Cricetulus griseus: one gene and its partners. The protein of the gene in region 1 interacts with the protein of each later gene in a biochemical or structural test. Links are inferred from orthologs where the notes say so. Each region holds a gene or a part of one and is shown in the gene's direction. Other genes may lie near its edges.

The links.
Region 2: the proteins of Map3k7 (region 1) and Trim31 form a complex in vitro, tested with the Homo sapiens proteins (2 studies listed by BioGRID, with this or other methods). The link is inferred for Cricetulus griseus from reciprocal best matches to the Homo sapiens genes MAP3K7 and TRIM31.
Region 3: of the proteins of Map3k7 (region 1) and Usp4, one has a biochemical effect on the other in vitro, tested with the Homo sapiens proteins (2 studies listed by BioGRID). The link is inferred for Cricetulus griseus from reciprocal best matches to the Homo sapiens genes MAP3K7 and USP4.
Region 4: the proteins of Map3k7 (region 1) and Nod2 form a complex in vitro, tested with the Homo sapiens proteins (2 studies listed by BioGRID). The link is inferred for Cricetulus griseus from reciprocal best matches to the Homo sapiens genes MAP3K7 and NOD2.

Annotation. Positions count from the first base shown.
Region 1 is NC_048595.1:110,090,224-110,093,789, reverse strand, and holds part of Map3k7 (mitogen-activated protein kinase kinase kinase 7), read left to right. Parts: intron 1-554; coding exon 555-683; intron 684-2,577; coding exon 2,578-2,708; intron 2,709-3,566. UniProt on the Homo sapiens protein: Serine/threonine kinase which acts as an essential component of the MAP kinase signal transduction pathway. Plays an important role in the cascades of cellular responses evoked by changes in the environment.
Region 2 is NW_023276806.1:228,842,485-228,846,638, reverse strand, and holds the start of Trim31 (E3 ubiquitin-protein ligase TRIM31), read left to right. Parts: upstream 1-1,337; coding exon 1,338-1,736; intron 1,737-2,130; coding exon 2,131-2,226; intron 2,227-3,935; coding exon 3,936-4,154.
Region 3 is NC_048597.1:216,544,459-216,548,024, forward strand, and holds part of Usp4 (ubiquitin carboxyl-terminal hydrolase 4), read left to right. Parts: intron 1-1,094; coding exon 1,095-1,319; intron 1,320-2,506; coding exon 2,507-2,590; intron 2,591-3,147; coding exon 3,148-3,242; intron 3,243-3,566.
Region 4 is NC_048596.1:164,275,391-164,278,956, forward strand, and holds part of Nod2 (nucleotide-binding oligomerization domain-containing protein 2), read left to right. Parts: intron 1-138; exon of another isoform or gene 139-1,907; intron 1,908-2,150; coding exon 2,151-2,617; intron 2,618-3,566. UniProt on the Homo sapiens protein: Pattern recognition receptor (PRR) that detects bacterial peptidoglycan fragments and other danger signals and plays an important role in gastrointestinal immunity.

The DNA of each region.
Region 1 (3,566 bases):
TGAGGGGCTGGAGCAGTGACTTAGAGGCAGAGAGCCCTTGCTTCTCTTGCAAGAGGACCCAGGTTCAATCCCCAGCACCCACAGAAGGTTCACAAAGGTCTGTGACTTCAGAAGTTGGGTTCCCGATGACTTCTTCTGACCTCTCTGGGCATTGCAACACATGGTACACAGACATACATAGAGGCAAAAGATCATTCATGCACATAAAATAAAAACAAATAAACCTTTTTCAAAAAGAAATTGAAAACTTACAGAAATATAAAGGTGTTTTAAATTATGCCTGTAAAAGAGATCAGTCTGCACACAGAAGAAAAAAGGCCAATGTATTTTGTTGAAAAGGTAGAAAATTACTGGCTTTCTCATGTAGATTTTGAGTATATTATTTATATTTATTTCATTAAACTCTATTTTGAAAACATTTAAGAAAGTAATTGTTTAATTCTTCCTGTGACAGTCTCTTATCCAAAATATCCATTCCTTTAAAAATTTTGAAACTAGTTATTTCTGTGATTCCTGTGGAACAGGTCTCAAGATGACAATGCCTTTTTTTGTAGGTAGTAATTACAGTGAAAAGTGTGATGTCTTCAGCTGGGGTATTATCCTTTGGGAAGTGATAACACGCCGGAAACCCTTTGATGAGATCGGTGGCCCAGCTTTCCGAATCATGTGGGCTGTTCATAATGGTTTGTCAAAAGAAATTTTTCTTTAATATATTGTGTATATTTCATATTTGGAAAACTGCCCCCATCCTCTTCCCCAGAGACTATGTATATCTGACACTGAAATGTAGACTTATTTGTTACCAGACCACCTTACTTTAGCACTCTATATACCTTTGTCTCTGGTTCTGGTGGGGAGAATTTAGACTCCTCTGCATAGGCCTGAGGCTGCCAACTGCACTGATTAGAGAAAGACCATCAGTACTTAGCCAGCACCTTTATCTCTCTCAGGGCTAGAGAAGCACTGCGGCAAAGTAGATAAATGAAATCTCTCATATCGTTAAGATAGCTGGGATGCTAGGCCCCTTTCTCCTGGGAAAACAACTCTCAAGCAAAACTGCTGGTAAGAGTTGTTTCTTAAGCTCAAAAGGACACAATATTCAGTGCTGCACACATGTTTTAGTTGTATATTCTCAACCATGCGTACAGTGCTAACATCACAAGTAATAAGTGTTGGAGCTGGAATCCACATGCAGGTCCTTTGGATTCAAGTGCTCCTACTTTTCATCAGGGTGACTTAATGTTATGTCTCTCTGACTTCCATAAATGTGTTCAGATAGCTTCCTCACTAGTAGGTCCTTCACAGTTTCTTTGATAAAGAAACTCTATAAGGAACTACAGCATCACTGTTACTTCACGTGCTTCTAATCGTTCCAGTGAATAAGTGCTTGTATACTAGTCTACAGGTGATCAAAGAAAAAACACCTAACTCTTTAGAGCTTTTGTAGGCTGGCCAAACAAAACCATCAGAGTAATCTTGGCTGTTTTACCAGTTTCCTCTGCCAGCTTTGTTACATCCTATAGTGTCGTAGAAAATACAGGAGCTTTCCAAGACAGTTTGCTTCCTCTGGCTATCAGTTCTCAGCAAGTGATTGTCAGTGAGGTAACAGAGTAAAAGAACTAGCGTATTGATTGATTAACCTATAAAGATCTTACTGTATCTGGAGCCACTCTTGAGTGTGGGAAGCTTACCAGTGCCACTGCAGGGTTAATAAATTATAAAAAGTTGGCACTTTCTGTCCTGTAAAATAGTTAACTGCAACCAGTGAGTGTAACAGTACAGCAGAGGAAAGTTGGTAAGTATAACATTGTAGGTGAAGGAAGTCAGTGAGTGCAACAACATGGTTGAAAATGTCAGTGAGTGTGACACCCTGAGGGAAGTCAGTGAGTCTAATACTGGTTGGCTGAAGTAAGTTAAGTGTGATACCAGAGTTAAGGAAAAACAGTGAGTGTGACACCATAGTTTAGGAAAACAGTGAGTGTGACACCAGAGTTGAGGGAAAACTGAGTGTGATACCACAGCTGAAGAAAACAGTGAGTGTGACACCATAGTTGAGGGAAGTTGTGAGAGTGATACCATGGTTGAGGGAAGTCAATGAGCATTACACTGTGTTTGATCACTTTCTGTAAATGGAAGATTTTTTTTCAAATGCATTTAATATTTTATAATCTGAAAATTCATCTTTCCTCAAGTCAGCTACTTATTTTTCCTAATGCATGCATTTGGCCTTTGCTCTTTGAAAGAATGCATATGACAGTTTGGTTTGGGTTTTGAGACAGAGTCCCACTCACTATGCAGCCCTGTGTGTTCTGCTGGCCTCTGCCTCACAAGCACTGGTTAAAGGCATACATCTAGCCCAAGCAAGCAGTCTTAGTCTCACTGTTCTTATCACCTGTGTTACAAATTTAATGTAGTTTTTGGTATAGTTTGCCCTTTGTGAAAATATATATAGATACAATACATGGTAAACTAAAAGAGAAAAAATGCTAGTTCAGATATTGTTGGAAATAAACTATAAAAATCTTGCAGTGTTCTTTGGGTAGATAATTCTTTTATTCCTCTAATTTTCAATTATAGGTACTCGACCACCACTGATCAAAAACTTACCTAAGCCCATCGAGAGTCTGATGACCCGCTGTTGGTCTAAAGATCCTTCTCAGCGCCCTTCAATGGAAGAAATTGTGAAAATAATGACTCACTTGATGCGGGTATAACCCTTCTTTTGAGGGGCCTTGGGTTTGGGGGACTTTACTATATACTGAGTTTTATTGGACTTTTAAAATGAAAGAATGGGAACTATTTCCTGCATTATACTTTCCTGTGTTTTTAAAGTCAGAATAGGCATTTATTTATTTATTACTTGTATTATCAGAAGAGAAAACATTACCTTAGAAAAATGTTTGTCTCTGTAATGACAAGATGGCTAGACAGGTTTCTAGGATTGCTGTCTTTACTAACATTTATAGATAAATATTTGGTTCCAGAGTGTGTGAGAGATGCTGATATAGGGTATGTGAGGCTTGTCAGTGCCTACATAGATATGATTAATAACATGCTTAACTAAGTTTGTCAGATTTTCATCAAAATACAGTCATTTCTACAGTATGCTGGGGATGTATTTTAAGAGATGTATTTGAGTAATTTTAATGATTCCCATTTTGGCTTTTGATTGAATGTTTTCAGATGGCAATAAAATCTAAGCTTTTTCTAGGCTTGATGGAATCTTTTAATTTAGAAGAACCCTTTTAAAAAGCTAATCAAATTCCCTACTCTACAAATCTTACACTTTAGGGTTACTTCAAATATTTTAAGGTAATTTTTTCCTTTATTGAAAATAGGTTTTATTTTGTAACAAGAGCCATAAATGGTAGCTTTAACTTTGTACACATAAACTTTAAGTTATGTAAGTCAAATTAATAACTATTCACCTATGTTTTGTCTAATTTGAAAAAAATCTCACCCTAAATTTTATTTGTATTGTTCAGTAAATAATTTCAGTATTATGTCCCCAGTTCATAGAGCCGGGGGCTTCCATAAGGTGTGTTCTTAATCTTTAAAAATACTGG
Region 2 (4,154 bases), on another chromosome or scaffold:
ACTCGGGAGGCAGAGGCAGATGGATTTGAGTTCAAGGCCAGCCTGGTTTACAGAGCAAGCTCCAGGACAGCCAGGGCTACACAGAGAAATCAAAAAACAAGAAACAAACAAACAAAAAACAATATATATGAAGAGAGAATAGAACTGGGAAAGTGACATGTTGGAAGGATTAGTGGCAAGTAAGATGAGTGATTGGGGTACGGATCAAGATAGAATTGTACACATATGAAATTATCAATGAATAAATAAAAGTATTTTTAATTAAAAATATTCAATAGCAATCAGTGGGCTGGGAGACCATGAACAAGGGGGAGGGAATGAGTGGGTGGTGGAACTAAGAGGGCATAACGGAGTACACTGATGTAGAAGGAAGGACCAACTTAGGGGAGTAAAGGGATGATTAAGAATGAGTGGCTGTCATGTGGTGCGGGCGGCGGCGGCGGGGTGGGAGGGGCATGAATAAGAACCAAGTATAAAGACAGACGTTTTGAAATTGCCCTAACAGGAGCTGGGGGTTTTGCTCAGTGCTAGAGAGCTTGCATAGCAAGAGAAAGATCCTGAGTTGAGGTCACCACCAGAGAGGAAGAAAGTTTGGTTTTTAATGACAGAAGAGAGACTGGGCTGGTGGGACGGGGAGTGGAAAGGAAGGGAGACACACTGTGTTCCTGGGAGCAAAGAGCAAGATGAACTGTTAAGAAGTGAAGAGTTGAGCTACTAAGGTTACATGGATGACACTGGCTGATGCTTTCCTAGTTAGGATAAAAGAAACAGGTTGAGTAAGCTAGGGGTCTGTGAACAGAGACTGAGGAAGAAGCAGGCATGACAAACAGAACAAAAGATGGCTCAGAGACAGTGAGGAAACCCAATAGAAGACAGGAGGGGGAAGTAAGAGATCAATGGGGTTAGATAAGCCCCACCTTTCTGGGGCTGCCAGTCAGCAGCTCCACTCCCTACCTGCAGTTGAGTAGACTTTGACACTTGGTTCTTTTGTTCTCAGACAACTGCTTTGGAAACATCTATTTAATTAGTTCAAGGTCCAGGAACCTTGGTCTGCTTTACAGGAAGCATGAGTTCACAGTATCTGTTTGCTTTTGAGAGACAGTGAGGTAGGATGGTCCAACTACCTGTCTTTTCTCTTTACAATATTCCCCATTTAAGTTTTACTTTTGTGTTGTTGCTGTTCATTTGCTTTACCCCCCCTTCATTTTGTCTCTCTGTGGTCTTCCAGTGGTGACACTTTTTAACGGCTGCTTCCTGTTGCATTTTCTCTTCCCAGCACCTGTGCCTGCCTTAGACTTCTGAGCTTTCACACTTCAATTTGGCCCTGCTGCTCCTTCATGGCAAACAAACTACAGGAGGAGGTGACCTGCCCCATCTGCCTGGAGATCCTACAGAATCCTGTCACCATTGACTGTGGGCACAACTTCTGCCAGCAATGTATCATCCAGGTTGGGAAAACTACAGAAAACCTCCAGTGTCCCCTCTGCAAGGTCACTGTGAGTAAGGATACGTTCAGGCCCAACAAGCAGTTGGCTAGTCTTGCAGAGACAATCCGGTCTATGGATCCCACTGAATTCCAACCAGAAGGGGAAGAGAAAAGATGTCTTAAACACAAGGAAAAATTCCATTACTTCTGTGAGCAGGACGGGGAGTTCCTCTGTCTGGTGTGCCGTGACTCCAGGAGCCATAAGTCCCACAATGTCACCTTGATAGATGAGGCTGACCAGAACTACAAGGTAGGTACCTGGCTCCTTCTCTATCCCCAGCCCAGCAGAGGAGAACTCCCTGAGGACATAGGAGCAGCTGCCTGTGCCAGCTGGTTGGTACTCACCGCTGCACTTGAATTGGCTATATGTAGCCAGGCCCAGTGGGCTCAAAGAGCCAAGTTCTGGGAAATGCCAGTCTGTAACCAAGGTGAGAAGAAGAAGAAGAATCAGAATAGTGCTTTGGGAGCAGGAGAGATAACTCGGAGTGTAAGGCACTTGCCACCAAGTCTGAGGACCCAAGTTTGGCCCTCAGGACCACATAGTACAAGGGAAAAAATTGTTTGATCCATGGGAAAGAAAAAGGGGGCTGATAATAATGACATTCCTAGAGGCAGAGCCTGACTGAAGTATCCTCTCCCCACAGGTGCTGATAGAGTCACAAATTCAGGATTTGGGCCAAAAGGACAAAGAAATAATTGAAGAGAAAAAGCGAAGTGAAGGGGCAATCCAGGTGTTCAGGGTAAGAAATATTCACTCCAAACACTTCTGAGGAAGTTGAGGCAGCTCTGTTGAAACTCCTAGCATTCCTTATACACCAAGCCGGAACAAAGACCTGCTGACACGGTATCAGTGTCGAGGGGCAGGGAGTGTGGTGCCTGAGCTGTACTCATCTACCTGCCCGGGTGCTGCACCAGGGAACCAGGAGGTCTCCTATTCCTCCACCCACAGTGGGCTTTGTAAGGACTGCCCGCACATTGCGTCACCCAAGCCCTTTTCACTACAGCCTGGTTACACTGTAAGAAAAGATGGAGAGACTGTGGCACCACAAAATGTCTCTGCCTGTCTTTGATTGCTTTTCTTAAAAGGTTGTTTTTTATTATTTTTATTTATGTGCATATGCATGTGTCTGTGTGAGTGAAAGCCATGTGTGTGCAAATATTGGCAGAAACCAAAGGCACTGGAATTACAGGCATTTGTGACCTGCTCTTCCTAGGTGCTGGAGACTGAATTCAGGTCCTCTGGACGCATTCTAAACCCCTGAGCCATCTCTCCAGGTCCTGGTGGTTTGATTGGTTGGTTTTTGTACATCCATGGAACATTTAGTATGAAGGCAGTTAAGCTTCTTCCTTCCTTCCTTCCTTCCTTCCTTCCTTCCTTTCTTTCCTTCTCTCTTTCTTTTGTCTGTGTTCTTCCTCCATCGACTTTTAAGAATATTTATTTATTTATTTATCTTTAGATTTAATTTTATGTGAGTGAATGCTTTGTTTGTATACCAGATGCATGCCTGGCATGGAGATCAGAAAAGGGTATTGGATCCCTGGAATTGGAATTAGGATGGTTGGGATCTACCATGTGTGTTCTGGGAATTGACTCTGAGCCCTTTGCAGGAGCAACAAACTCCTTTACCAAGCCGTGTCTCCAGCTCCTAGACACAGTATCTTATGTAGCATAAGCTAGAGATTGTTATACAGAAAAGAAGAGCCTTGAGCTTCTGATCCTTTCATCCTTCCCCCAGTACTGAAATTGCAGGGCTATATCACCATGTCCAGATTACTGCAGGTCTATATTGCCATGCCCAGATCATGCAGGGCTGAGGATGCATTCTAAGCAAGCACCCTATCAATTGAACTACAATCTTATCCTGGGTTTTCGATTGCGATGTTGGTAGGTTGTTTGTTGAGAGAGTGGCTCAAGTAGTTCAGGCTGGCCTCTGATTCCTGAATCTCCTGTCTGTACTTTCCAAGTGTTAAGATTGCATAGTTGTTCATCCAGCTGATGTACTTGAAGGCAATATATATATATATATATATATATTATATATATATATATATAGAGAGAGAGAGAGAGAGAGAGAGAGAGCCTAAATTTGCACAGGAAGTGCTTTGATCTCCTTGCCCCACCCCCCTTTCCCACAGGTATGCCCCCAGCAAGCTGTTCAGCATAATCTTTAAATATTCCCAAAGAGTGAACAGTGCCAGGTGGTACGTGCCTTTGATTCCCAGCACTTAGGAGGCAGAGGCAGGTGGATCTCTGTGAATCGAAGGCCAACCTGTTGCACTTACTGAGTTCCTGGCTAGCCAGGGTTATATAGTGAGACTTTGCCCGTAACTGACTGATCATTCATTCATTCATGGTTGATTTAAAAAGTGAATGAAGGGCTTAAAGGAAGCTTGGAGGACCCTCTCTCATGCCCGTCCCCCATCTTTGCATCCCTTCCTTTGTCTCCAGGCCCAGATACATCTAGAAAAACTAAAGATCCTTGAAGAATTCAAACACCTGCACCTGAGATTGGAAGAGGAAGAGAGATTCCTCCTGTCCAGGTTGGACTGGCTGGAGCACGAGGGAGCCAAGCAAATAGGACAGTATGTCACTGCGACTAATGAGCAGTTGACTTCCCTCAGGAAGCTCTCAAGATCCCTAAAAAATAGGTTACAAGCACCGCCCATG
Region 3 (3,566 bases), on another chromosome or scaffold:
CATGACAGGGATGCATTCCTAGTCAGAAAGGAGCTAACTGTAGTCGCCTTTTCCTTTCTTTCCCAGTGCTCCAGGGCCTTTGGAATACTAGGCAGGCACTCTACCACTGGGCTACATTCCCAGCCCTAACATACTTCCTTCTGGGTTTCTTCAAGTTAGCTAGTTTGTTTAGTATTGCATTGGCAAGCCAGTAACTTCAAGAGTTGTAAAAACTTGAAAGTGTTGGCAGTATGCTCTTAGCATTGTTACTGCTCTTTGCAACTCAGCTGGGATATTTGTTTGTGGTACCGATGATAAAACCTCCAACCTCACTCCTATTGGGCAAGTGCTGGATCGCATTAGGTGGCCTGGACTGGCGTATTGTAGCCAAGTATGGCCTGGAAAGTTTGAGTCTTTTGTCTCCAGTGTACTAAACTAGCCTCTTCTCTCCGTGATTATTAAAATAATCTCATTAAGACTAAATTTAGGGCCAGGCAGGTGGTGGTGCACGCCTTTAATCCAACATTCGGAGGCAGAGGCAGGCGAATTTCTGTGAGTTTGAGACCAGCCTGGTCTACAAGAACTAGTTCCAGGACAGCCTCCAAAGCCACAGAGAAACCCTGTCTCGAAAAACCAAAAAAAAAAAAAAAAAAAAAAGACTAAATTTAGAGCTGGGAGGTGGCCCATGTCTTTAATCCCAGGATTTGGGAGGCAGAGGCAGGTGGATCTCTGTGAGTTTGAGGTCTACAGAGGTAGTTCCAGGATAGGCCTCTAAAGCTACAGAGAAACGCTGTCTTGAAAAACAAAAACAAGAGATCTCTCCTAAGGTCCTTTAGATCATTAAAAACACAAAAGGTTTGGTCTATCCCCAGTTGGATCTGTCTGACTACAGTGTTCTCAGGGTTCCTATTCTGTATAGATTCTCTGTTGATGTCTCAGTAAGTATGGTTGTGGGTATAGAGCTGGTCTGTGGTGGGAGGGTGGTACACTAAAAGCTTTTGACAGTTCGTGGTCTACCTTCTGGTCCATCTCAGTGTTGTTATGCAGCATTCTGGATGCAGAGGAGAAGGACGGATGTTGAGAATTTCCTGCTTAATCCTTCTTCTTTTATCCAGGTGGTAGCAAAGGAAGCCTGGGAAAACCACAGGCTGAGGAATGATTCTGTGATTGTGGACACTTTCCATGGCCTTTTCAAGTCTACTTTGGTTTGCCCAGAATGTGCTAAAGTTTCTGTGACTTTTGACCCGTTTTGCTATCTAACTCTCCCACTGCCTTTGAAGAAGGATCGAGTTATGGAGGTCTTTCTGGTTCCTGCTGACCCACAGTGCCGACCTATCCAGGTAACAGAATTCTTCTTCATGGTACCACTTGCTGAGCAGACTCTAGTCCCTGATGGGACTGCTTTCAGTCTGCTGCATGAAAAACTCCACTGACTGACCCTCTGTCCCTGGGTCCCCTTGGACTTAGTCTGTGTGTGCACCCTTGACCTCTCTCTGTCAGACTTTATGTAAACTCATTCATTGTTGAGGATCTGTTGTAAAGGTCCTTGGGGCTTCTCTGTCACTTTCTCATTGTTTTCTATTTATGAAATTGTAATAACCTGGTTTACCTGCTTAATGGTTTAAGGTCATTGGCTCTTCGTGTCCAATTCTTTTGGTGGCTCAAAGTGTTTTCACTTAGTCTTCTGAACTTTTTAAAAATTTCTTTTTTGTTTTGTTTTTCTTTTGTTGTTGTTGCTTTGTTTTTTTTTTTTTTTCAAGACACAGTTTCTCTGTGCAGCTTTGGAGCCTTTTCTGGAACTCACTCTGTATAACAGGTTAGCCTCGAACACACAGAAATCCAACTCCCTCTGCCTCCTGAGTGCTGGGATTAAAGGTGTGTCCTATCACTGGCCTGACACCCCACCACCCACTTTCTAAGCAAAGGCAATATTCTCTGGGTGTGATGGTGCACACATTTCCTCAAGGGGAGCAGAGGCAGTTAGAAAAGATCTCTGTCAAGTTGAAGCCAGCTTGGTCTTCATAATGAATTTCAGGCTAGCCAGGGTACACAGTGAGGCTCTGTCTCAAAAAGGAAAAGAAAGGAAGGTAATACATAGTATCAAAGGCAATTTCTATGCTTTGAACAATTCTTTAAAGGACATAAGAGGAGGTGCGACACACATGCCTTTAATCCCAGCACTCAGGCCAGCACTTGGGAGGCAGAGGCAGGAGGATGTCTGAGTTCGAGGTCAGCCTGGTCTGCAAATCCAGAGAAACCCTGTCTGGAGGGGGAGAGGGTGGAGAGTAGTGACCTAATCCAAAAGTAAAGTATAAACAAAAACAATGCTTGGGAAAGAAAGAGGTGGCTGACTGTGCCTGAATGTTGAAGCTTTGCTAATATCAAAGACTTGGCTCTGTCTACTTAACTCACCTGGGCCACACACTGCCTCTGGAAGGGTCTTTATGTCCCCATGATGTGTGCTTCTCCAAGGTCACTTCATGTCCCTTGGAGTACTCCTATCACCTTGCCTGTTTCTCCTTTGCAGTGCCGTGTGACTGTGCCATTGATGGGGGCCATATCTGACCTGTGTGAAGCACTTGCTAAATTGTCTGGCATTGCTGCAGAAAATGTAAGTGGCCCTTAACATGGCTAAGTCACTTCATGGCCCCTTGGAGTTTCCTTTCCAACTTTTAGCCACTTTTGGAAGGTTGTTATTGGACAGCACGAATGTCATCATTGGTGTATGTCTTGATTCCTCGTGGCTTCTGGCCTTGATCATGATCCCTTCCAGCACAGGGAAACACCATTTTTCCTCCCCTGCAATGATGCTGCCCATTGTCAGAGGGACAAGAGTAGGGCTCTGCTTCCATCATTGTGTGCTGTGTGGGGTGTGGAGACCAGCTCTGGAAAGCCACCGGGGTCTTTAGACAATGACAGTCTCTACCAGCGCTCGCTTCTCACCATGCCTACCACTGGAGGGCAGATGTTACCAGCATGCCAGTGCTGCTAACAGCCATGTTCCTCCCTTTCATGTCCTGGCCCTAGCCTTGGGACCACTCACATGGTGTTTCTCTGCAGGCAGCACTACAGAGGGGCATTTCCGCCCTTTGTTTCTGGGTTGTAATCAGTGAGTAGGAGCTCTGTGAGCCATCCTGTCATGTTTATGTACTTACTCTTGATTCTTAGATGGTGGTCACAGATGTATATAATCACCGGTTCCATAAAATTTTCCAAATGGATGAAGGTTTAAGCCACATTATGCCTCGAGATGACATTTTTGTGTAAGTACTTAGTAGTTTCTGATATATCACCAGAAGGACACTGTGGAGGCTTTGTCCTGTTTGTGTTCCCAGGTCTGACATCATTGCTCATGTGTATCTGTCCTAGTGCCTCCCAAGGGAAATGTACGTTCAGGAAACTGAGCATTTGTCAGTACTCAGAAGCATTGCACAAACACAGCTTTGGTCAGTTGTTTGTTTCTTAAAGAACTAGCTCAGTGGTTCTGCTCTCAGCTTCCTTGCTCAGTAAGAGTCATAGCTCTACCATGTACTGTTGGCGCACAACTTTAATCCCAGCAAACAGATCTCTGGGTTTGAGGCCAGCCT
Region 4 (3,566 bases), on another chromosome or scaffold:
ATCCTGGGCAAGCACATTTATTGGAGACATCTCACATCCCTAGGGTCTTTGACTGAAAGCCAGTGCAGATGTCCCAGGCTTTGTGCCAGGACTGCCAAGAACTAGCAAGTTCTGGGTGCTGGGCTGCCAGCTCAGGCTTCCTGCTCAGCTTGTGGGATTTCCCCTAGGGTGGGTCAGCTGGATTAGGGACTGCCTGTGCAATGCCTCTGGGCCTTTTGGCTCATGTGCTTGCAGAAGAAGGAAGCATTAAGTGTCTTACCCAGTACCCTGAAGATAAAGTGAGCCAGGCATCCCATTTTAGCACTTTCCATCCTCTGTACTTCCCGGCTGCACCTCAGACCTCAGGCCAGAGTGCTTGCCCTTGCCTGTGTGCTGTTCTCTTGGGGCGGGAGATGGGGGGGCAGTAGTTACTTTCCTCAGGACCTGAGCAGGGGTGGTGGGTTAGATGGTGCTCCAACTATGGCTAGTTTTGCACAGATGAGAAACACTCCATGACTTGGCCCTAGCTCATGCTGGCACTTGCTGTTGTCCCCCTACCCCTTACTCTAGGATCCTCTGCTTGGATTGAGCCCAGGGCACGGGTGACCTGCTTGGCCAGTGAGAACTCTCAGCTTCTGGCTTACAGTAGCTCCATAATAGGGATACCTTCTCTCCTAAGCTGCCAGAGGCTCAGGTAGCTTCCCTACCTCACTTTGCCCATCTGGCCAGCCCCAGGCTGCCGGCCTTCATGTTAGTAACATGGTGCTGAGTTAGAGATTGAAGATAGCCCCAGAGCATTCCAGCCCCAGGCCTCCATGGGTGTGTTTAGAGTTAACAACCCCAGGGCTTCCACTGAACCCAGTGCTGGGCAAACCTTTGGGGGTGTCAGAATGAGGGAGATCTAGCCTGCTGTGGGAGCCAGCCATAGAGGGAAGATAACCACTATCTAACAGGAAAGGCTTAGACTCCCTAGACCATTTCCAGCTGCCCCCTCTCCACTGCAGGACCTTCTTAGAATGTCCCTGGTTGTGAAAGGAAACCTTTGTTCCTCTTCCTCTGTGCCTGTACTCTTTCGCTTTCATTTTCTCTGGGCACAGCCCCAGCCCTTATCTTGGACAGTGGCAATGACAAACTGGCCCACTGAAATGTTCTGATTTTTCTCTGCAGCTCAGCAATCTCCATTGCCTGAGGTTTCTGATGGTCCCTTCCTTTCAAAGCCCCAGCACTTGGGACTGAATGAAGGCTGAGCTCAGTACTGGCTCCTGAGCATAGCAATAGCAGGGTGGCAAGCAGTGTGTGTTGCTGAATGCATGGGAGGGAGCAAGGGCCTAAGGGCGTGTGTGTGTGTGTGTGTGTGTGTGTGTGTGTGTGTGTGTGTCTGTGTGTCTGTGTGTGTGTGTGTCTGTGTGTGCGCGTGTCTGTGTGTGCGCGTGTCAGTGTGTGTGTTGCTGTTGGGTGGTGTACCAGTAGGCTTCAAGCCAACTTCATGTGTACCCTGACATCCTATTTTACCTGGATTGACATCTTTGCTGCAAGCCCTAGCTTTGCCCATGGAGCAATAATAGGTTATGTGCAGAGGGCAGGGCTGGGGGCCTGTGGGGATACCAGTAAGAGACAAAGGTTTGCATCAGGCAAGGAATCCCACTACTTGGGTTCCAATCCCAGCCCTGTCCCTCCAAGCTATGATAAATACTACAAAATTTCTTTTAGCTCAAGCTCCCTCTCTGTAGATGGGACTGGCCACAGCACCTGCTTTCTAGAAGTTGAGAGTGGGAAATGCAATGTTTTAATAAGGCACTTAGGATGTCCTTAAAGGATCCAGTGGTTCCAAAGCTATATGACTGTGAGTGTGGCCTGCCTCTGTAGAAGGGAACTGATCTGCAGGAGACTACTTCTCCTGTCAACACTGCCTTGTGAAACTTCCTAAGGTAGAGAGCAAGCATTGCTATGGGAGCCCAGGGCTTGAGGATATAAATGTCTGGCTACTTTAAACTTGTGGGAACTCCAACTAGTTTCTTGACATCCTGGGACCTCACTTTGTAGAGAACTTAGCCTGGAGAATGCCTGAGCACAACTGTAGCCCACTTGGACTTGGAGTAGGTTGCTCTCTACATAGCCTGGTTTTTAGAGAAGTCATTTTCTGACCTCTGACCTCCCCTTCTCTCTTACAGGTTGTGACATGTGCTCACAGGAAGACTTCCAGGCACAGAGGAGCCAGCTGGTGGCACTGTTGGTCTCGGGGTCCTTGGAGGGCTTTGAGAGCATCTTGGACTGGCTGCTATCCTGGGATGTGCTGTCCTGGGAGGACTATGAGGGCCTTAGCCTCCCTGGCCAACCTCTCTCCCATTCTGCCAGGCGCCTACTGGACACAGTCTGGAACAAGGGTGATTGGGGCTGTCAGAAGCTCCTTGAAGCTGTCCAGGAGGCCCAGGCCAACAGTCATACTCTGGAACTGCATGGCTGCTGGGACACTCACTCCATTCAACCAACCAGAGACCTGCAGAGTCACCGGCCAGCCATTGTCCGGGGACTCTACAACCATGTAGAAGCCATGCTGGAGCTGGCAAGAGAGCAAGGATTCCTGAGCCAGTATGAATGTGATGAGATCAGGCTGCCAATCTTCACATCATCCCAGAGGGTAAGCAGTGGCCTGTGTCAGCAGAATTCACAGGGGCAGGCTGCTTAGTTACCAAGACTGTTGTTCTTGTGCAGTCAGCCTCACGGAATAGCATGATTGGTGAGATTTCCCATGCAGCATCGACCAGCCAGGTCAAAGTTGCTCTTGGTTGTACCAGCAAGTCACTTTTGGTGGGGGCATCTGTGGCTTGGCAGTGAGGGCTTGGACTCAGTAGCCAGAATGATTCAGGTTCTAGGTCAGTTTTGTGTGACTGGATGTTTCTATATAGAAGCTCTCCATCTAGTTCTCCTCTCTTTTCTCTTTTATTTTGCTTGTTTGCAGTGCTGGGGCCTTTTGCTCTACCCCAGCCTTAGACTCTACCCTTCATTTCTCCCATCCCAGTTTCCTCATTGAATGACACTATTAATCTCTGATGCTCAAGGGTTTGGGGAGAACTCACTGAGTTAATCCATGTATCAATTAGAGACGTGTCTGGGAAGTCTGCTAACATCATCTCTGGCTGCTGTCATTTCTGCTGAGTGGCTCTCTGTACTTGCAGACTTTTATTGCTGTCTGCTTCAAATCAACAGCTCAATGGAGAATAATTCTGCAATATATTAAACCTGAATTTAATAGTATAGCCCACTGTGTGCCAATATAGTTTAAATGCCCACCTAGGATTTCAGATATGAAACTGCGTTCGAATTGGCAGGTAACTGCCCCTGAAATGCAGTGATTCTACAGAAACCGCAAGGGCAGAAAAGTATTGCTGTGCATTTCTGAAACTTCTGTTTTCCTGTAAATGGTGGTCCTCAGGCTGCCTGGGAAGCATGGAAAATAGTGATACTCTACTTTACAGTTTTGGGAAATCTGCAGTAGTGAAGGAGCAGTCAGTGGTGGACTTTGGCCTTGACTTGTTCCTTTAGTCGGAATCTATTAGGCTTACCGTATGGCAGGTTCTGTGTTAAAG